Saccharomyces cerevisiae S288C: one gene and its partners. Changing the gene in region 2 together with the main gene of any one other region gives a genetic interaction. Each region holds a gene or a part of one and is shown on either strand. Other genes may lie near its edges. The genes, in order: ESF1, INM1, SNO4 and AFG2.

Region 1 (6,666 bases), on a different chromosome or scaffold from region 2:
GCTAGTATCGTAGTAAAAACATCGAGGATAGAGTCCTCGCGACGGTCGTGTAATGGATAAACCCAACGGAATTTTGTTGTCTCATCAGTAAATGAGATGAAATAGGATGGTGCACTATTTGGTAGGTTGTGAACTGGACCAAATATGTCAGTATGTAGGTATTGAAAGGGTTCGTATGAATTTTGGTATTTTAGTCGTGAACCTTTGATATGTCTGTGTTTGGTGCTTTTGCCGATTAAACAATCAGGACATTGATAGTCAATAGCACTAGACCAGTCGACATCTGATTCGTTAAAATACGTGATGGTGTTATTTTTAAGTGAGTATCGAATTGTCTGTGCATTGGCATGCGCAAGCATTCGATGAATGAAAGGATAAGGATATTTGCGTGTACTTTCACTTGTATGGACATTATTGATGGTGGGTACGGAGATATTTGATGGAAGCAAGTACCTTTTAGATACCCAGTAAAAGTCTCCATATTGTACGATAGGTGCAAGTACAGTGCCGTCAGATCGTTCTAAGACGTTTTTGGTAAAGCATGCTGTGATATCTACTGCAGCCAATTCATTCAAACTGAGTAAGTCATAGGCTATGTTAGGAGTGTGCAATACCTTTATTGATGTTTTGGTGTTGTCCTGGAAGTGAAATTGTAGGTCACCAATAGCGTTAATTGGTATATTTCTTTTTTGAGCATCAACTACGTTTATGTCAGGATTAGATGATGCTGAGTGTATGTGATGAGCAGATCTTATAAGGGTTCGTGATGCTCCTGAATCGAGAAGGAGGTGTCCAGGGAGTTCATCATCAGAATGATTAGTGTGATTTACCGTAGATTCAGTAAGTTCCTGGCCTAAGGTGAAGGTCGTGCTTATTGTTCAATTGAATCGGTTCAGTAGTTGATTTACTGATGGAATCGTTGTCCGTGCTGGGAGAGTTATTAGATGTGGATACATTGTGAGCCCTGGCTGTTTTCGATTTCGAATTATTTGTTTTTTGAGGATTCCGAGCTATAACTTTGGGTTTGGTTGTATTCGTATAGCTGCGAGAATCATTCTTCTCATCACTCAGATTTCTCCTGTAATTAGGTTTGCTGTTTCTCGATCCCTGTTGTTCTTCATAAATAGCATGGATATCTAAGAACAGTTCAGCGACTGTCATATTTAGATGTCGATGACGTGTGTAGCGTAAAAATTTATATTCGCCAGATAGACCTCTCATAATTAATTGGCATGCGACCTTGTTATTGATATGAATGCCATTATTGTTCAGTCTGTCGATAATGTTTGTGACTTTTGTTTCAAATGCATCTGCAGGTGTACTGCCATTATATTGCAAATTTGCCAGGGTCACAATGTCGTTTGCCTCTTGGGTATCAGATTGCATTTTTTCAATACTTTTGGAAAGAATTTTCATGATATCCGTATAATCAACGGATAGGATGTCTTTGACCCAGGTAGGTAGGAATTGAGAGGGAGCAAATATTTGAAAAGTGTTATACAAGAAGGTGAGTTCATCATCAGTGATCTGACGTACGGGTTTTCCGTTTACTGTCGGAATAATACCACCGAGATTCGAGTTTTGTAAAAATTTGATGTATGTTTTAACCCAATTTGGAAAGTCATTAGGTGAGGTTAACATTGGTGGTGGTCTGACATATTTTTTAGTGGATGTCATATCAGAGTCCGCTGAGGATGAATCAGTAAATGTATTACCTGACTCAGGTGATGGAGTGCTCAGAGGCGTTCCAACTGATGATGGATACTGCGGAAACTGTGATTGTGGCCCAGGTGGAAAGTACATAGGCGACATTTGATAAGGTGTATACGGAATCATAGATGGGTGTCCGTAAAATGACCAACCAGATGGATTGGCTTGGTTTTGGGTCATCATGCACTGCTGTGGGTACGGCCCATTCTGTGGAGGTGGTACTGAAGCAGGTTGAGGAGAGGCATGATGGGGGTTCTCTGGAACAGCTGATGAAGCAGGTGTTGTTGTCTGTTGAGAGTTAGCCTTAGTGGAAGCCTTCTCACATTCTTCTGTTTTGGAAGCTGAAACGTCTAACGGATCTTGATTTGTGTGGACTTCCTTAGAAGTAACCGAAGCACAGGCGCTACCATGAGAAATGGGTGAATGTTGAGATAATTGTTGGGATTCCATTGTTGATAAAGGCTATAATATTAGGTATACAGAATATACTAGAAGTTCTCCTCAAGGATTTAGGAATCCATAAAAGGGAATCTGCAATTCTACACAATTCTATAAATATTATTATCATCATTTTATATGTTTATATTCATTGATCCTATTACATTATCAATCCTTGCGTTTCAGCTTCCACTAATTTAGATGACTATTTCTCATCATTTGCGTCATCTTCTAACACCGTATATGATAATATACTAGTAATGTAAATACTAGTTAGTAGATGATAGTTGATTTCTATTCCAACATGCTTCAACAATCTCGGAAGCATCGCTCAGAAGCGCAAATACAACTCTGTGTCTACTATGCCAAGAGAGGACGATTGAAATCTGCTAATAGCCCTATATCCAAAGATTAGCAATATGAGCCGGGCCAAATATCCCAGATGAGGCTACCGATCATTATTGACGTTCCGAAATTTTTCAGTTACAGAAAAAATTTCATCTCATCTCATCTCAAATTCATCATTAGCATAATGGTACAAATAATAAATATCACATAACTGTGGGTCCGGAATATTTTTCAAGACATTTCAGCGGATCGTATAAGGTTGCAAGAAAAATTGAAGATGGCTGGAGAGAACCCAAAGAAGGAAGGTGTAGATGCTAGGTTTGCCGGGATCTACAGCGATCCTAAATTTAAGAACACGAAAACCAAAGATCATAAGATCAAGTTAGATTCTAGGTTCAGTAAGAAGGATCTGGAGGTCCAGCATAAATCTAAGGTTGACAAGTATGGTAGAAAGATCAAAAATGCGCAGAATAACAGGGAATTGGAAGATTTCGACAAATATTTCGAAAAGGAAGCAGAAAATGATGAAGATTCAGAAGTTAATGCGAAAACAGTAGTGGACCGTGCCCGTGGTGAAGTTCCTGATGATTATGTTAGCTCTTCTGATGAATTCACTTCTTCTGATTCTGAATCGTCCGGAGAAAGTGAAGTTGAAAGCGAAGAAGAAAATGAAGTAGAAATTGAAAATGCCAAACCAGAATCTGGTGACATCTCTAAGAATTTGGCCGTCGTAAATTTAGATTGGGACCATGTTAAATCTGAGGATTTGATGATTACCTTTTCCAGTTTCGTTCCTAAAGGTGGTAAAATTGAAAGAGTTGCTATTTATCCAAGTGAATTTGGTAAAGAAAGAATGCAACGCGAGGAAGTTGAAGGACCTCCAAAGGAACTTTTCCAAAAGAAAAATAAGAACAAAACCTCCAAAAAGAAGAAAACTGATGACTCTGATTCTGATATGGACATCGGTATTAAGGATCTTTATGAAGAGGGAGATGCTGACAAGGACGTGGATTCCAGAGCTTTACGTCAATACCAGTTGGACAGATTAAGATATTATTACGCAATAGTTTATTGTAGTGATACAACCACCTCCAAAGCTATCTATGATAACTGTGATGGTACCGAATATGAGTCAACCGCTAATATGTTCGATTTAAGGTATGTTCCTGATGGTATGACTTTTGATGATGATGTAAGAGATGAATGCAGTATATTGCCTAAGAACTATAGGCCACACCAGTTTAGCACAGATGCTCTACAACATTCAAGCGTCAAATTGACCTGGGATGAAACGCCAGCTGATAGGGTCGAAGTTGCTAAGAGGGCCTTTACCCAAAAGGAAATTGATGATATGGACTTTAAGGCTTACTTGGCGTCAGATAGTGATGAATCGGATGGGCAGGTCGATGAAGAGGCGAAAAATAAACTAAAGTCGTTGGTTGGTGACTTTGGGTTTAATTCCAAGAAAGAAACCCCTAACGATGAAGATGAAGAAGTTGATATGGAAATTACATTTACTCCAGCCTTGGAAGGAGGAAACGAGAAATCGTCGGAAGACAAAGAAGAAACGACTATAGAGAAAATAAGAAGAAAAGAGAAGGAACGTCGTAAAGCAAGAAAGCAGAAAGTAAAGGAATTGAAACAGCAGTCGGAGAAGGATAAGAAAAGCAAGTTGAAATCTGTTAATAAAAAGCATACTAACGATGAAGAGGAGATCGAAAAGAATGCCAAATCAAAGGCTGAATTGGAGCTTTTAATGGATGATGATGATGATACCGAAACTCAGGGCACAATAAATAACAAAGCACATTTCAACATGAACGAAATCTTAAGATCAGAAAAAGAAAAACACAAGAAAGGCCGGTATCAAAAGAAAGAGAGAATTGTTGAAGACACCTTTACACCTGATTTAGAAGATCCTAGATTTAAAGAAGTCTTCGAAGATCACGATTTTGCTATCGACCCGACCCAGCCTGAATTCAAAGGTACACAAGCTATGAGTAAAATCCTAAAAGAACGTAGTAAACGTGTTAAGAATAAGAAAAGAAAACTTGGCGGTAGTGAAAACAATATGACCAATAACGCAGATGATAATGAAGATATTGGTAACTTGGTAAACAAGTTGAAAAAGAAAAGCAAATCATCCAAGAAGGTAAAGGTTTAAAGCAGTCAATGAAATAGTATTTAAATGAAACTTGAATACAAATAGATATGTACAATTATAAAGAATGCATCATTGGATTTGTAGTTGATATCAATTATCGTAATGTTTCTCTGACCGGTTCTTGTAATACCATTTCTTTGAATTTTCTTTTTTGTATTTTGTCTTATTTACGAGGGAGTACTGTGTCCTTGCTAGAGATGAGGTAAAAAAAAAATCTTGAAATTTTTCCTTTATTTTTGGCCAAATAGTGCAACAAACACGGCATGTACTTTGAAGAGCAGATGAAATGGGTTTAGTAGACGGTTATGACACAAGCTCAGACTCTGATTTGAACTTCGACGAAGGCAAATCTGTTCATGAAAAGAAAAATGGTAATTTGCATGAAGATACTTCGTATGAACCTTCTTCAAATAATATTCATAAGAGAAAATCACATTTTACAAAGTCAGAACTAAAAAGAAGACGGAAAACTCGCAAAGGAGATGGGCCGTGGGGCAGTTGGTCAAGTAGTGACGATGAAACTTCACAAGCCAGCGAAACTCAGAAAGAAGATCAGGATATCTTCGTGCACGCGCTGGCTGAGGACAACCTAGATTCGGAACAGATAGAGGTAGAGGAAGTCTCCCATTTTTATGGTAAATCAGAAAAGGACTATCAAGGCAGAGGATATTTATATCCACCAAATGACGTCGATGTTGATCTTCGTGAGGAAAGGATATCCTTTCGGTGTTACTTACCAAAAAAAGTTATACGTAATTATCCGGGGCATCCAGAAGGAACCACTGCCCTGAAATTCTTACCTAAAACTGGACACTTAATTCTCTCTGGTGGTAATGATCATACTATAAAAATTTGGGATTTCTACCATGACTATGAATGCCTACGAGATTTTCAAGGTCATAACAAGCCTATTAAAGCATTACGATTCACCGAAGACTGTCAATCTTTTTTGAGCTCTTCCTTTGATAGAAGCGTTAAAATTTGGGATACTGAAACTGGTAAAGTGAAAACCAGGTTGCACCTTAATTCAACGCCTGCAGATGTTGAATCTCGGCCCACTAACCCACATGAGTTCATTGTAGGTTTATCGAATTCGAAAATATTACATTATGATGATCGTGTTTCAGAAAATCAAGGTCTTGTGCAGACATATGATCATCACCTAAGTAGCATTCTGGCTCTCAAGTATTTTCCCGATGGTTCGAAGTTTATTTCTTCTTCAGAGGATAAGACGGTAAGAATTTGGGAAAATCAGATCAATGTACCAATAAAACAAATAAGTGACACGGCTCAACATTCTATGCCATTTTTAAATGTACATCCGTCTCAGAACTATTTCTGTGCACAAAGCATGGATAATAGAATATATTCTTTCAGTTTGAAACCCAAATATAAGAGGCATCCAAAAAAGATATTTAAAGGGCATTCATCTGCTGGTTATGGGATAAGCTTGGCTTTTTCTGGTGATGGTCGTTACATATGTTCAGGCGATTCAAAAAGCAGACTATTTACTTGGGATTGGAATACGTCGCGCTTATTAAATAACATCAAGATTCCAGGCAACAAGCCTATAACTCAAGTGGACTGGCATCCTCAAGAAACAAGTAAAGTCATTTGCAGCGGAGCGGCAGGTAAGATATATGTATGTGACTAGCTATTCACTCGGAATGTTACTTGAAACAAATTAAATGGTTACATGGATGTGATTTGTTACTTAATTGTTATTACGGATGATATTATTATGATAGTAAAAATGACAATAATAAAGAAACGATTGGGGTTACCTGAAATTGCAAGTACTAGTTCGAGGACACATTTGCATCATATGGTAGAAAGAGCGGATCTTAATATAGTTAATTTTTTAAACTGAGACTGCATTTAAAGAAATGAGAAATCTCAGCTGAGTTATTTAATACTTTGCGTGCATCATTATTATACTACAAGGCCATATAATCGACTACCGCATAGCCTTTCGTATCTCTTTTTATTATTTATTTTATCATCTA
Region 2 (5,839 bases):
GGGGAAAGCTTTTTGCAGTTTTGCTGCATGGTGGGTCTGCATCTTTCATCAATCCTACAACGATAGATTGCGAGTCGTTGCAAGAAACTACGTTACTGTTTACCGAAACAAAGGATGTTGTCAAATTAATTGATTCTAATTCTAGAAGTGGGCTGCTGAATAAAATCTACTTATCCTGGGCCACGAACTTACTGAGCGAGGGTATTTTTACGAAAATTGCCAGAATCGAGCCACATTCTCTTGAAAAATTAAGATGTGTTTATTTGGCAGATAATGTGAAAGATGCTGAGGTTATTTCGACATTTCCTGAAAAAATTCCTCAGCTAAAAAAGACTAACCGAAGAATCACCCCAAGCACTGAACAATTGAATAAAATAAGAGCTCAATTAGGATCCCGTGTAGTCCTCGAGTTATATTGTCCCTACGCTATCATGGGACCTGTGGCACATACCAATTTTTATGACTATAGGGTTTTTGGAAAATCTGTGGACGATAACGTTGTATGTTATGGAACACTAAGTACAACATTAGAAGGAAAAATGGTAGAAACGGAAACAAACCCTCATTTGAACATAGAGAAGAAGCAGGGTATGTTATGTATTCGTGGTTTTAGCATAGGTAAACCAGTAGAGTCCGATCGTTTAGAGAAAGCTTTGCATTTAGCTGAAAGGTTTGGAGGAGGTGAAGGATGGATGCCTCTAGTTGGCGTTTTTGGACTATTTGGCCAAGACGGTTGCTTATACATCTATAATCAATGAGCATTATCTATCGCTTTATTATTTATTATTTATTATTATCATTATTATTATTATCATTATTATTATTACTACCAATACCTTCTATATCCCTGTGATCAGCTAAAATGATTCAAATAACTGTCATTTTAATCGTACATTTTATATTAGGCCTAATGTGCTGACGATCAGTCATATTTCAAATGGCCATCAACACAGTTCCAAAAGTCTGTGATATATTTTGTTTGTTCGTCACTTTCGTTATTAATTGTTCCCCTCACAGCCAAATATGTCCTATTGTCGACATCAATACTCCATTCACCTGGATTGGCACCTACTACACGACCGCCCACTTCTTTCAAAATACACCATCCAGCACACACGTCCCACGAATAGCAACCACCATCCCAATAACTATCAAGGTACCCCATAGCAATATATGCCATTGTCATTGCAGATGATCCTAAATTTCTGAATCCATGAACAAAACCGTAATCACATGATAGTAATTTTTCATATGTGGCCATTTTTGTCTGAAAATTCTTTCCCTCTCTAGCGGAACCTGGCTGTAATGCCACTACGGATTTATTTAGTATTAGAGAACCCATAGATTCCAATTTTGATTTATAGTCATAGTCCTTGTTGTTAACTCTCATCCCATTTCCTTTAGAAGCGGATACCAGAAGATTAATGTGAGGATTATATATAACGCCTACTACGGGCTCTTTGTTTACTGTGAGCCCAAGAGAGGTACAGCTAAATGGGAAATCATGAACAAAGTTTGTAGTCCCATCAATTGGATCAATAATAAAGGTAGGATCATCAGTAATCACGGTCTCCCCTTTCACATAACTTTCCTCTCCAATAAACTTGAAAGTTGGATATTGGGTTTTTACCGATTCCCAAATTAACTTTTCGACCTGTTTATCGATAGCAGTTACAATATCAACGCTCCTGGAGCCAGTCTTCAAGTCATAATCCTTTTGAGTGCCGGACTTGGATTTGATGATTGGTCCTACTTTTTCAGTAGCCAGTTCACAGAGGAATTTCTCGATAGAAGCTAGATCAATGGTCATGGTATATGTGTATATGCGTGTACCAGCTGTTGATTTCCTTATTCATCCAAAAAAAAGAAAACACTGGGGTTATTTAACAAGCAGTTAAATGTGAAGTAAGAGATAAAAGACCTATATTAATACCATTTTTGGAAAAGCAACGTGCGCAACAATGAAAGTCACTCGATGCATCCATTATTCAAAAAAAAGTTTTTTTTTTTTTTCCATACATCATCAGATGAAAAAATCTCGCTATGACGCACGCCAGTCAATATTCACTCAGTTCTTCCGAAAGGAAGCAGAAGAAAGTTCTCTATACTTGGAAATGTGTCAATGAAGATGTTATCAGATTCATTTTCTGCTAGCTACTATATTTCTACATAAGCAAGTAGTAATCTCTTTATTAATTACACGTGGTTTTGACTCATTGGCATATGTATATATTTGTGTTGTAGGTGCTCGTGAAAAAAAAAAGCTATTGATCATACTCATGCTCACGCAAGTAGGTAGCAACGATTTCACGATCTCTGCTCACCCATTGCGCCTTGGATCTAATAGTGTCTAAGGCTTGAGCCAGGGTTTGATCAAAACCTTTAGTGACCTTTCTACTATAGAACGCACTAATTTTTTCAAGGGCTTCAAAAGAGGTAAAATTAGTTAAACCCAATGTCAACACGCCACCCAACACAGGCGAGCCTGGCTGTAATCTCTTAGCAATTTCGTCCCAGTGTTCTTGCATCCAAGCCCATAACCTTTCAATACCCTTCTTATGAACTCTAATGCCTTGCATTGGGATGTAAAAATCTTGATTCAAAACTGTACCATCTAGCAGATAAGACAATGTCCTTTCTAAAAGTTCTTTGTCTTCAAATCTGCCCAAAGCTCTCAAAGCGATAATCTTTTCTTCTGACGAAACAGGGTTTTGATAGATGTTGAAAATCTTTTCGTAATTGTTTTCTCCGCCAAGTCTGGCAACGGTGTTGAAAACAACTGCCTTGAACAGTGCAGGTATGGCCTGTTTGTTCCCATTGGCGTATTCCTCAAACATTTCTACCGCAATCGATTGCATTTTTTCATTGCCAGAAGTGCATGCGGCACTGAAAAGGGTCACTTTTAAACGTTGGATAGCAAAGGAGTCGTCTTCGCCAATATTCCACCCCAATTCAGAAAGTTTGTTAAGTACTAGATCCAAAGTAAATTTATCTAGAGCATTCAATATATCCTCTGGTTCGAAGACCCAAGTAGATTTCAGAGCGGATAAACTATTAATGATTTGTTCCCAAACAACAAATGAATCCTCGTTTTTCCAATTAGAAATTAAATTCAAGAAGTTAGTAGTAGAGGTATAGCCAGATGCAGAAAGGGCTTTTGCATCTGCGACTAAGCCAACACGATCCTCTACGGATAATAAATTTGCCTGTTTGGATAGCTTAGCCCATCTTTCGTCAGAATAAGAGGTAATGAAAATACCAGATTGGTCACCATTAATCTTGAAGAACTCTTCATTCTTTAATTCGAAAGTAGCAGATTTTTCGTTCAATACCAATGTGTTATCGATACCTGTACTGTCTTTCAAAGCTAACAAAATGGGGTATATGGTTGTATCTTCCTCTTCTTTAACATCACCGGTACTTAAATAACGGTGTTGAGTTAATGTGATTTTGTTCTTGTGTTCCTTGACAGATAACACTGGAAAACCAACACGTTTTGTCCAGATGTTCATCACCGAACAAACGTCCTTGCCAGAGGCATCTGCTAAGGCGTCCCACAAATCTCCGGTCTTTGCATTACCGTATTTGAATTTATTCAGGTATTGGGACACACCTTTAATAAAAGTCTCTTCACCCAACCATTTGGAAATCATCCTCAATAAAGAAGATCCTTTAGAATAAGAAATAGCATCAAAAATTTGATTGATTTCGTCCGCATTATTAACGGGAACTTCAATTGGATGGGAAGATCTTAATGAATCTAAATTTAGAGCACGTTGTAAATTGTCAGTAACATATTGCTCCCAAACTTTCCATTCTGGTTGAAACTTGTTGCAAGAGTACCAAGACATCCAAGTGGCAAAACCTTCATTCAACCATAAGCCTTCCCACCAATCCATGGTGACCAAGTTGCCGAACCATTGGTGGGCTAGTTCATGCTGAATAACCTCAGCAACTCTTTGAATGCGATCTAAACTCGAATTTTCTATGTCTAATAACAAATCAATAACTCTATAAGTCACTAGCCCCCAGTTTTCCATAGCACCAGCAGAAAACTCATGAACTGCCACCATATCCATCTTTGGCAATGGATATTCTATGTTGAAGGTGTCCTCAAAGAATCTCAAGGTCCTAGCAGCTAAATTGGCTGCAAACTGACCAAATTTTTCGTCCCCTGGGGTAGAATAAACTCTTACTGGAATACGGAAATTATTGCTTTCCACGTATCTCAGGTCAGCTACAATAAATGCTACTAAGTACGTAGACATCTTTGGAGTCGTGTTAAAAGTTGTATATTTCTTACCCTCTTTGATTGTTTCATTCCTGACATCCATGTTGGACAAATGAGTCAGAAACGATTCAGAGACCAAAGTTACTGCAAAAGTCGCCTTCAAATTTGGTTCGTCAAAACAAGGAAAGGCTCTTCTAGCATCTGTGGCTTCCATCTGAGTAGTAGCCATGTACTTCGTCTCCCCTGTGACTTTATCCGTATACTTAGCCCTGTAAAATCCCGCCATCTGATCATTTAGAATACCGGAAAAGATAATTTCTAACTTCGCAGAAGGTCCTAGGTTTTCAAAAGTTCCATTAGGAAAGACAAGAGTAGCTTTTTGTTGGTTTTCGTTTTTGTTAACTTCAATGGCATTGACACCCTCAATACGTGCAGAATGGAAATCTATTTCTAAGTAATTTATTTGCACAGAGTTTATCGAATGATCATTAATCTGCAGGTCAATTTTTAATGACCCTTCAAACGTAAAAGCACGGAAATTAGGTTCTAGTGTAATGTCATAATGCAATGGGGTAACGTTGTTTGGCAGTACTTCACGGGACATGGTATTAGCTGAGAGGGCAATTTGGCTTGCTTGAACAGGAACCCTCAAAGAAAAATCACGAATTGAATAAGCTTCCCTGAAGATAATTCTAAATGATTAGCTAAGATTACTCATAAAGTCAAAAGTTTGATCGCTAACAAAAGGGAAAAAAACGGAAAAAAAATAAAAAAATGTGTCAAACTCCCACAGCCAAGTCCAAGAGTACGAAAAAAAACTTTCACAACGAGTTCAAAAAATGTGGGATGAAGACTCCCGTTTTTCACCGCCTAGAAAACAGCGTTTGCTGAGAAAAAAAATAAATCATCGAGAAGAAGTATGTCATCATAGGATGTTCCCATTGTAAGGTGATGTGTAACATACTCGAACAAAGAATGTATAGAGCTGAATATTTCTCCTTTAAATTTCAAAGAAAATGAGAAGGAAAATCTCAAACAGAAACTTCGTTCTTTTTCTCAAGTAAGCAAAAGCTTATTGAGACAAAGCGGAATAACTACGATATTAATAACGTTGATGAAGCTCGAACAAAGTTAGCGTCGGTTATGCTTGCCTATATAAAGATATATTTGCCTTACATTTTCGTTGAACGTAGAATGATTTTTGCTTTTAATAAATTTTTTGTTGTTCTTTCAGTGCTTCTTCAACTTTGATACGAAAGCAAGTGCATTAGTACAACAAGAACTGGCCACAACTATACTATACTCATTTTTTCTTGCCCGTGTTTTAAATGTTTTCATCCACAGCATTTGATGGGATGATTGGAAGTGAGACGTTCGAGAAAATCCATATTTTGAGTCAAGAATTCAGATAATATACTGAGATGATTAGGTATGGCTGGGTTCTACAAAAACACAAATATCCGGCTAGCAATGATCACTGAGCAAATTAAAGCGTTAACTCACTCATTATTGTAGCTTATGCGTTTCTCCTCCTCTCTTTTTTTCCTCGAACCGGAGTGGAAGATCCAATAACGTAATATTACTGATGTTGTTATTAAAGCTGGCAAA
Region 3 (5,707 bases), on a different chromosome or scaffold from region 2:
ACATCCATATCCCTTTGTTATTCTTCATTAAATGTCACTACAAATTCTGTCCTTACTGAAGTAAAGAATATTTGAAAATACTACACTGATCTTTAATTACTGATCTACAATAACACACAGTGTTGAAGGATAATTCCAAGACTCTCACCTGCGACTGGTCGTGTTAGGAAACCAAACTGAAATATGCTAAATTTCGAGTGAAACCTACCGGAATCGGTACATCTCCAGAGGATTTTAAGTGAAGATTTAACATCGTATAACAAGCATGCATAACTTGTCACTGGGATAAAGAGAAGGTACTAAATTTTCGTAGGCGACAATTTTCCATCTCATAGAGTACTCGAAGAAAAACATAAACACTATTAAAAATAGCTCCTAGTAAAGGCTTTTTGGATTCTAATTCAAGTTTACAAATACCTACCAACAACATTCTTGATATTGTAATCTGCTCTGAAGTAGATACCCTAACGGGATTGTTAAGTCAGGGAGCAGCGTAACGACATTCACGAAAAGCTCTAAAAATGCGTAGATTTGGAAAGCCATGTATTGTTTCACATGAAATTTCGGCCAGGCCTCACATATTACAGCCTTGTAATTATAAGATGGTGCTGAGTTGTAAGGTAAAAAAACCCATTGAGTTATTGCACCTTCAAGAGTTAATACTTTACACTTTTATGAAAATTTGCCTTCACGTAAACTTGATCCAGCAAAACATCAATAAGTTGTCATATATTTCTCGAAAATATCCAAGGGCACCTGCTTTTATCAGCTGCGACAATAGAGCCACGGAGCCAACAAAAAAAGGCTTTTTAGTTTGCCGCATGTAATGATTGGCGAATAATTTTTCAAGGTTATGATTGTTCTTGGGAACACAGATCACGGAATCCTTTTGCCAATAATACATTAGATGGAATATTTGGATACAACTTTCGAATATAACGCCTTTTGAGCTAGCAATATCGACTGTATGGGAATATAAAAGTTAATTTTAGGCAATTTAATTAATCGTGACTGGTCGGAGAAGGCGAGATTGTAGCTCCACCATGTGAGGATTATTGGCAAAGGTTTAGATCCGGTGGAGATTTATCTTCTTTTACCCCATCTTACTTGTGCACTCTCCCAAATTCCCATCTGATGAACTGTTAGTTGATTCCTTTAGATTATAAAACATATGATGTTTACTCTGTTTTTTGTCGGCGAAGTACGGAAAAGCATTTGTGACTCTAAAAAAACATGGCAAGGATAATTAATTAACAATACTTCTTGTGCTGTTTATAAAATGTATTTAGTGTAACATGCTGCTTCCTAGCATATGTATAATGTTAAGAATTTTCCAGTTTCTTTAAAAAGGCATTTACGTGTATTTCTTGACGGCTGCAGAAATCTCTTGGATGTCTTTTGGACTTGTTCTGCAACAACCACCAATGATACGGGCACCGCTGCTAATGTACTGTTTAACAACCGTATCCCAACTGTTCAGCTTATCGCTATTTGGCAACCATATCTTCTTTTCAGTATCATAAACTTCACCACTGTTTGGATAAGCAAGCAAGGCCATATTTGGCAGTGCTTGATGTAGAGACTCAAGAATGTCGGGTGATTGGTTGAAGCTGACGCAGTTGATTCCTAAGAACGAGAGGTTAGGATTTATTTTGTCGCCCAAGTCCATCATCTATTTACTACGAAACGATAAATTTCCCCGTTTTCTTTTACTTTTACTTCATTTAATATAATTCATATTTATTTCCCATGTACCAATTAATTACTCCTAAAAGAACAGAAATAGAAAAAAGTTGTATATAACAAGCCAAAAAAAAAAAAGAAAAAAGGAAACACAGCTTATTTCAAATTGCAATCTGCGTATTTCGTAAGTAACGAATGATCTCACAGCATTGCTTTTTTTTTTTTTTTTTTTATATATATGTACATTACCTATGTCACATATGACCATGATGAGTACAACACTAAAAACCAAGGCCTACTATTCAATTGTTCTCTATATGATTTCCATTCTAGCAAAATCGAGTGCTACCGATCTGCCGTTTTCTTTACCTTTCGAACCATTGAGCTGTTAGCCTTCTCTTCACAGAAACTGAAGGCCATTAGAAGCCTCCCCTTCAACAATTCCCTTGTCTTTTGTTTCAGCTATATAATGCGTTTATAGCTCTAATTGTGGTCGAATAGGAAGAATTTGCGTTAACACCCGTAACTAGCTTTCCATCGGTAATAGAGTAGTCATCCCAGGGATGAATTGGCGCCAAGTACTTGGCTCTATTCTTGTTTGCAACGCGTTCAACCGTTGTCAATTTTCTGCTCCTCAAGATGTCGTCAACTCCCAGGGCGATTTCACCCTCGAGTGGGAAACCTGTTATAGCTTTGCCTTCGATTAATGGTCTTGTTGTTTTGATATCTATTAATCCATCGAAAAGGAGCGGTCCATGACAGATGGCGGCGATCACACCCCCATTGGCATATATCTTGGATGCAATATCTTGCAGATTTTTAGCTTTGGGATAGTCAAATAGAGCACCATGTCCAGCAGATGCAAAGAATATTTTATAGTCGCTGGCGTTGACTTCATTTGCGGTCTTGATCCTCGCTAACGCCTTATTGAAGGCGGAATTTTTCGTTTCAAAGTTCATCTTATCTTCGCCACCAATAAAGCTCTTTGGCAAGTAATGTTCATCCCAGCCAAATCCACCAGTCTCAGAAACGAAGTCCACTTCGAAACCATGCTTTTCGAAAGTATCGAACGACCGCAAAATCTCAACTACAAAAACGCCTGTTTTCGCACCATCTTTATAGAAGGGACCGTGGTATGAAGTAAGAGATATTAGCGCTCTTTTTGGAGTCATTGCAAGGCCAGTTTTCTTTTTGAATGAAGGAGAAAAGTGTTCTAGAAATATGTTTTAGTTCTAAGTATCGTTGTCTGGAGCAAGCAAAGAAAAGCAGACCTGTATGTGCAACTTTCTTGTTTTCCATTAAAATCTCAAGAACCGGCCCCTTGACTGTGCTCATATATCAAGTATCGGTTTTAAAGTCCCCTAATTGTGATAATTGCAAGAATGACAGTCAAAAAGATATTTTTCTTTTCTTTCTTTTTACCTATCCTTCATGAAAATACCTATGCTGATACTGAATATCTTCATTTGCAGCTATGCAATATTTCAGATACTGCATTTTACCCAAGAGTTTCTTTACTGGTGGTTGGATTTTTTTTAAGACGAGAAGATTACCAGTCCTGGATGTTCATGAATGTGCCTATTGCGTCATCAGCGACTCCGCGCCAAGAAAAGAAATACTCGCATGCTCGGATTTATAGAATCGCATAATGGAAATAGCTTCCTTAAAGGATGGAGATAAGGAAAAAATGACAAGAACAAGGAAGTACTTGGGAGCTTTCTCCGACATGTTAAATATTTGAAACTCACGCAGCTCTCCTGGAAAGTTGCATCTGGAAAGGTAAGGTTGTTTTTTGTTCAGACATCAAAATCGGCTCTTGTAGACAATGTCACAGATCCACAAGTTGAAAAAAAAGTTTCGATGAACTGGATAAGGGGAGAGGTCACAAACAAAGTGTAGGGGGTGAGTAGTATAGTGGTAACTTGTTCATTTACCTAAATAACATTCTCACTAGAAAAGAGATATTGAAAGACTCCTCGTTTACCTAACTTGGCTGGTTCTTAGGTATATAATAGAAACATGGATCTGGCAGGTTATTACTTACAGTTTGCATTCCCACCAGGTAACAATTTTCATTATATATAGTTATTTTTTACCACCACTTCTTCTTCTTTCACTTTGTCTTGCAATAGAAATACCAAAACAAGGTGAGGAAAAAATCGAATCTCAACGATAAAAATATGTCCATCACGAAGGTACATGCTAGAACGGTGTATGATTCTCGCGGTAATCCGACTGTTGAGGTTGAAATTACAACAGAGAATGGTCTCTTCAGAGCGATCGTCCCATCTGGTGCCTCCACCGGCATTCACGAAGCTGTTGAACTTAGAGACGGGAACAAGTCCGAATGGATGGGAAAAGGGGTGACCAAGGCAGTCAGTAACGTCAATAGTATCATAGGGCCTGCTTTAATCAAGTCCGACTTATGTGTAACCAATCAGAAGGGCATAGACGAGCTCATGATATCGTTAGACGGAACTTCTAACAAGTCAAGGTTGGGCGCCAATGCTATCCTTGGTGTTTCCTTGTGCGTTGCTCGAGCTGCTGCCGCACAAAAGGGAATTACTCTCTACAAGTATATAGCCGAGTTAGCGGATGCTAGACAGGACCCCTTTGTTATTCCTGTTCCTTTTTTCAATGTTTTGAATGGTGGAGCCCACGCCGGTGGCTCTTTAGCTATGCAAGAATTCAAGATCGCGCCAGTCGGGGCTCAGAGCTTTGCAGAAGCCATGAGGATGGGTTCGGAGGTTTACCATCATTTGAAGATATTGGCGAAGGAGCAATATGGACCTTCCGCTGGAAATGTTGGTGACGAGGGTGGAGTCGCCCCCGATATCGACACTGCCGAGGACGCCTTGGACATGATTGTGAAAGCCATTAACATATGCGGTTACGAGGGTAGAGTGAAAGTAGGAATCGATAGTGCTCCTTCTGTTTTTTATAAGGACGGGAAATACGACCTAAATTTCAAGGAACCGAACTCTGACCCATCTCACTGGCTCAGTCCAGCTCAGTTAGCAGAATATTATCATTCATTGCTAAAGAAATACCCAATCATTTCCCTGGAAGACCCCTACGCCGAAGATGATTGGTCCTCGTGGTCTGCCTTCCTAAAGACTGTCAATGTTCAGATAATTGCAGATGACCTGACATGCACCAACAAGACCAGGATCGCCCGTGCTATAGAGGAGAAATGTGCGAATACTCTGTTGCTGAAACTCAACCAGATCGGTACTCTGACTGAGTCTATTGAAGCCGCCAATCAGGCTTTCGATGCTGGATGGGGTGTAATGATATCACATAGATCAGGTGAAACCGAAGATCCGTTTATCGCTGATTTGGTCGTTGGTTTAAGATGTGGTCAAATTAAATCGGGCGCTTTGTCGAGATCAGAAAGACTGGCCAAGTATAATGAACTTTTGCGTATCGAAGAGGAACTGGGGGACGATTGTATATATGCTGGTCATAGGTTTCATGATGGAAACAAACTATAAAGGATTGTCTTGTTTCCTTTTTTTTTTTTTTGTTTTTTTATGACTAAATAAAGTAAATCATATGAGGTTTTATTTTTTATTTCGTTGATTTGGGTTACAGTATGGAAATGGGGCATTTGACACAAGTTATTTTATTCATATGTTTTATCTTGTAGGAAATCAAACCGTTTTTAAAGTTTTCCATTGCCTACACACAAAATCATTACGAATCTGTCTGAACAAGGGTGGACGTGTGGGGGAAGGCTGTTCCAATCAAGAAATGCTTACAACTCTACTAACACTGCAGTTTTTCAGCTTTCTGATTAATCTCTTCGGTTTAAATTTTTTAGCAGCTATTACTTTCTAGTAACCCTTATAACGCGGTTGGTATCAAATCTTCCTGATAGTACAAGCAGACCTTTGACCCCATTCTTGTTGTGTCTTGAAATCTTTTTTTCTGACAAAAGTAAGAAGTTACACCATAATAGAGAAGTTAAATAATGAAAGTGTATCGATCATAGAAATGATTTCATTTTTTTCAACTACTGTTA
Region 4 (4,558 bases), on a different chromosome or scaffold from region 2:
AATAAGAAAAATAAGATCCATTTGCGGAACGCTGCCTAAGGCACTCGGTAAATCGTCACTTAGCTGATCATCGAGTAACGTAATTTTCCTTACAGGAGTTGATTGAGTCAAATCTTGGAAAGTTAGCAAACTATTGAGTACTGGCAATACACTTGGTTGAACCACAAGAACTTCATCATTTTGAGATATCTCATTTAAGGTAGCACATAGTCCATCGGCATTTGTTAATGAAAATTTCTTAGTATTCCAAAATCTATTCATCGTGAAATGATTTGATAAAGTTGGAGATGGGCAATATCAGCTTTTTCTTCCTTTCTCGAATTTTCTATCTTTTAACTAATTAACATATAACTAGTTCCAATTTGCTAACCTTTATGATATTTTATTTATGTATGTTCGTGTGAAGTGATTAATATATTATACAAAATGACCGGAGTTCAGTATAATTTCTATCTACTATTATTGAGCACACAAAGGAAAAGAATTGACTATGAACAAGCTTACGAAGATGAACCGCTTCTTAGAGCAAACTCTTCATAATAAGAGAGCATTTCTGGAGTAATGCCCCTAGCAATTCCTTTAAAAGCTTTCTCAAAATGACGTAATTCCACTTTTGCGACATCTAAATCTTCCATTATGGCAGCCAAGCCCGCTTCTTGACAAAGCAGCACAACTTCAGCTCCGGAATAACCTTCTGTACGGTCTGCCAATTCATGAAGATCGACTCCAGACTCTTCTGTATTAAATTTCTTTGTGCACTTCTTTAAGATTTCCAAGCGGGCGTTTACGTCTGGAGGGCCAACGTAAATGTGTCTATCTAACCTACCAGGCCTTAGAAGAGCAGCATCTATTTCATCAGGTCTATTCGTCGCCGCTACAATAACTACACCCTTTAACTCTTCAACACCATCAATCTCATTGAGTAAAGATGTGAGCACGTGATTAGCTGCAGAGGTGGAACTCCCGTCTCTATCAGGAGATAATGCATCGATTTCATCAAAGAAGATAATACTTGGAGCTGCAGAGCGTGCTTTGCGGAAAATTTCTCTTATAGCTCTTTCGGATTCCCCTACATACTTGTTAAAAATTTCAGGCCCTTTCACAGCTAAGAAGTTGATACCCGATTCTGTAGCGAGAGCTTTTGCGGTTAATGTCTTGGAGCAACCTGGCGGCCCGTAAAGTAATACACCTTTTGGTGCAGAAATTCCCAGCCTGGCAAAAGTCTCCGAAGCCTCCAAAGGCAACTGTATCATTTCTTTCATCTTTGTTTTAAGCTCTTCTTGGCCGCCAATGTCAGACCAATAAACTTTTGGCATTTCTAAGAAGATTTCTCTCATTGCGCTGGGTCTGATATCAACCATGGCGCTCTCCACATCTTTCAATGTAACTTTTAGGGAAAACTTGTCAATATTGGCGTCTGTTCCTAGTCCTCGTTGTATCGTCTTCATAACTGATTCTCTGCAGAGAGCAGTTAAATCAGCACCAACATAGCCATGCGTTTTAGAAGCAATGTACTTGATCGCTTCAGAATCTAATACGTGACGATCCGAGGACATTCTTGAGAATTGCTTAGTTAAAATGTCAAATCTGGCATCAACGTCTGGTATACCAATTTCTACTTCTTGGTCAAACCTGCCAGGTCTCCTGAGAGCAGGGTCGACAGAATTAGGCCTGTTTGTAGCAGCAATTACCACCACTTTACCTGCAGCGCCCATGCCATCCATTAGGGTAAGCAATGTAGCCACGACTCTGCTCTCAACTTCACCGGAGTCATCGTTTGCTCTATTTGGTGCTATTGAATCAATTTCGTCAATGAAAATAATGGAAGGCTGGTACTTCCTTGCTTCATTAAAAATATCTCTTAATGCCGCTTCCGTTTCACCAAGATATTTGGAGACGATTGAGGGGCCATTAATGGTTAGGACGTGTGCGTTGGACGTATTTGCTACAACTCTCAAAAGCATAGTTTTACCAGTACCTGGGGGTCCGTGAAGAAGTATACCTCGAGGGGGAGAAACACCAAAGCTACTAAATAGCGTCGGTTGATGAAGAGGTATTTCAATAGCACTTTTCAGTGATTCAATCTCCTTGTCTAAGCCGCCCACTGCTGCATAGGATAAGGGCTCCGGAAGATTGTATTTACGATTTGCCTGGGTTTCTTTCGAAAAAGTTATATGTGTGGAGCCTTTTCTGAATATAAAAGGTGGAGATAGATAAAACAGGTTATCTAATCCACCGTACATATCGTCCATGTTAAGATCTAGTTGGCTGACGTCGGGAAGCGAATCATCGCTCGCATCTGTAATTACGACATCAATGCTTTCATCACCTGCTTTTGTTTTTAAGTTTTGAAAAATCATTCCAGGCATTATAACGCCACTATCATCCAGTAGCTTTTGAATTACTTTTTCCTCCATACATTCCAAAATATTATATCCTTGTAAGGACCCCACGGTAACCTTAGTGGCATAAGGTGGTTGCACCTGGGCTTTCTTTAATTCTAGACGATCACCAAGGATAAGGTTCCCAACAGATCGTATAGTTGTGGAAAGGGTGATAACATTAACAGGATGTACTTCTTCATCACCCGCTCTAGCTATTACTAAAATACCATTTTCGCCTATCTTACCGACAGTACAAAATGATCCCGGATTTATCTCAAGCGAGGATAATACGTTAGGATGAATATATGCTGTGCATGTTTCCTTGCCATGATCTTTAGAAGGATGTGGTCTGGTAATAAATTCAGCAGGCAATTTAAATTTGGATGCTTTTGCATCAGCACTATTAGAACTTGCCGATGATTTCTTTTTGGAACCGGAAGAACTAGATTTAGGAGCCATTTTCCTTTCTATGATTGGGCAATTTTGAGAATGGGCAATGTTGAGAATTCAATTGTATATTGTTCGCATATTAGTTTATGTGATGAGGCAATATAAAATTTTCTTACAATAGTCCGCCCGTTGCTTACATGAAAGAAAAAAAAAATAAAGATGGATCGAAGTGGACTTAAAAACTATGTATACGTGTGTGTGTGTGTGTGCAATAAGAGTTCGAAAACATTAACTTTTATAAACATGACTCACATTGAGAATAAATGAGCTCTCTATAAATACAAACTTGCGGCGAAAACAATATCTCTCTTAATCAACTCTTGAGCCCTGCTCATCTTCATATGTAATGTGGAATTACCAATAATAATAGAGGCAGTCTTAACTTCGCGGCAAATTTCGTCTAGCCAAGTGATAACTCTGACTACAGTACCTTCAGCCTCGGGGCTCATTTCCATGATTTCTTTGAATGATAAACCACGGGCCCACTCATACACCACATTCATCATGGCAAACCTTTTTCTGTCCAAAAACTCAGCTTCATCCTGAGTTAATGGAATCTGATGCGTATTGAAAACACAAAGCATTTTCTTGTAAATTTCCTCAATTCTTTGTTTACCCTTTGCTAGCCTTGGTGTGACAATAGGAGGCTCCTCTTCCCTGGTTTTCCCCTCATAAACAAATACTGATAATAAGGCTACAATCTCTTCAGGTTCAAAGCTTCCTAAAAAGTTGTCTAAAATTAATTCAGTTAAAACTAACTCATAACCAGAATTAATTTCACATGCCACTCTACCTTTTAACAGCACGTTGTGGTTTTGGTCGATAAATTCAGTGTCTTTCAGAACAGCCAATCTCTTTTCATAATCGGGTAGTAAGCTCAGATTTTGGTCAGACATCAAATGGTACAATTCTTCAATTTTCTTTTTAATTACATGCGCCTTAAACTTGGGAACAATGTGTTGGCTTAGGTTGGGACATTTAATGCTTTTTAGTTTGAATATCTCATCCCTTATATTTGTACGGTCTAACAATATTTGGTGAATTTTTAAACCTTGCTTTTCAATGTTAATTGCTTCTTTTAGCGTTTTGCCGTCCAAAATGTTATTTGTTTCAGCGTTAAACTCGTTCAAAGCGGCAACATCCTTTTTAATCACTTTTCCCAAGGGTGCGGCAAACTTGCGTTTAGTGATCACTTCAATAGCCGTCACAGGAACTTCTTCCATATAAAAATCAGTCTTCTGGAATTTAGGGAAGTTCCTTCTTCTGTATCCATCCGCTTTTGGAAAGTATATTAAATGATTTGGCTCACCATTTGGGAGTTTGTATGGTTTTGTGAACGTCATAATGACACAAACAGCATCCTTCAGAGAAACTTTAAATACAAATCCTAATTTCAAGCAATCATTGGGGTCCCTAAAAGCAACGAGTCTGCCCTCTTTCAAGATATGCAATATCGAAGGCGATTTAACCATTTCTTGCATTAGGTTGACTGTTGCCTCCTTATATGCCAGCATCAATTCCAAAAACTTTTCGATATCATTATCACAGATTTCACAACTTTTGTACTCTATGGTTTGTAATTCCTCTTGTAATACTTTGATTTGTTTTTCATGTTCAGGTTGTAAAGTTTCTTTGGCATTCTCACTAAAAGAATACTTGATCATTTCTTCAACTCTCAACGCCTCAATTCTTAAAAGATTTAATATCATATTGTATGTTAATCT

Evidence for each region.
Region 1: mutations in INM1 (region 2) and ESF1 together harm fitness less than expected from each alone (positive genetic interaction), as found in Saccharomyces cerevisiae (one large-scale study listed by BioGRID).
Region 3: mutations in INM1 (region 2) and SNO4 together harm fitness more than expected from each alone (negative genetic interaction), as found in Saccharomyces cerevisiae (one large-scale study listed by BioGRID).
Region 4: mutations in INM1 (region 2) and AFG2 together harm fitness more than expected from each alone (negative genetic interaction), as found in Saccharomyces cerevisiae (one large-scale study listed by BioGRID).

What each region holds. Positions count from the first base shown.
Region 1 is NC_001136.10:1,202,491-1,209,156, reverse strand, and holds ESF1 (pre-rRNA-processing protein ESF1), read left to right. Parts: upstream 1-2,773; coding exon 2,774-4,660; downstream 4,661-6,666. Other genes in the region: YDR365W-A (gag protein), read right to left, coding at 838-2,160; CDC40 (Cdc40p), read left to right, coding at 4,947-6,314. UniProt on the Saccharomyces cerevisiae protein: Involved in the 18S rRNA synthesis. Required for the early cleavages at sites A0, A1 and A2.
Region 2 is NC_001140.6:196,476-202,314, forward strand, and holds INM1 (inositol monophosphate 1-phosphatase INM1), read right to left. Parts: upstream 1,811-5,839; coding exon 923-1,810; downstream 1-922. Other genes in the region: DDE1 (Dde1p), read left to right, coding at 1-758; AAP1 (arginine/alanine aminopeptidase), read right to left, coding at 2,265-4,835. UniProt on the Saccharomyces cerevisiae protein: Responsible for the provision of inositol required for synthesis of phosphatidylinositol and polyphosphoinositides.
Region 3 is NC_001145.3:916,225-921,931, forward strand, and holds SNO4 (glutathione-independent methylglyoxalase family protein), read right to left. Parts: upstream 2,856-5,707; coding exon 2,142-2,855; downstream 1-2,141. Other genes in the region: YMR320W (uncharacterized protein), read left to right, coding at 522-827; YMR321C (uncharacterized protein), read right to left, coding at 1,355-1,672; phosphopyruvate hydratase ERR3, read left to right, coding at 3,864-5,177. UniProt on the Saccharomyces cerevisiae protein: Catalyzes the conversion of methylglyoxal (MG) to D-lactate in a single glutathione (GSH)-independent step. May play a role in detoxifying endogenously produced glyoxals. Involved in protection against reactive oxygen species (ROS).
Region 4 is NC_001144.5:912,050-916,607, forward strand, and holds AFG2 (AAA family ATPase AFG2), read right to left. Parts: upstream 2,844-4,558; coding exon 501-2,843; downstream 1-500. Other genes in the region: tethering complex ATP-binding subunit VPS33, read right to left, coding at 1-261; SKI complex RNA helicase subunit SKI2, read right to left, coding at 3,107-4,558. UniProt on the Saccharomyces cerevisiae protein: ATP-dependent chaperone which uses the energy provided by ATP hydrolysis to generate mechanical force to disassemble protein complexes.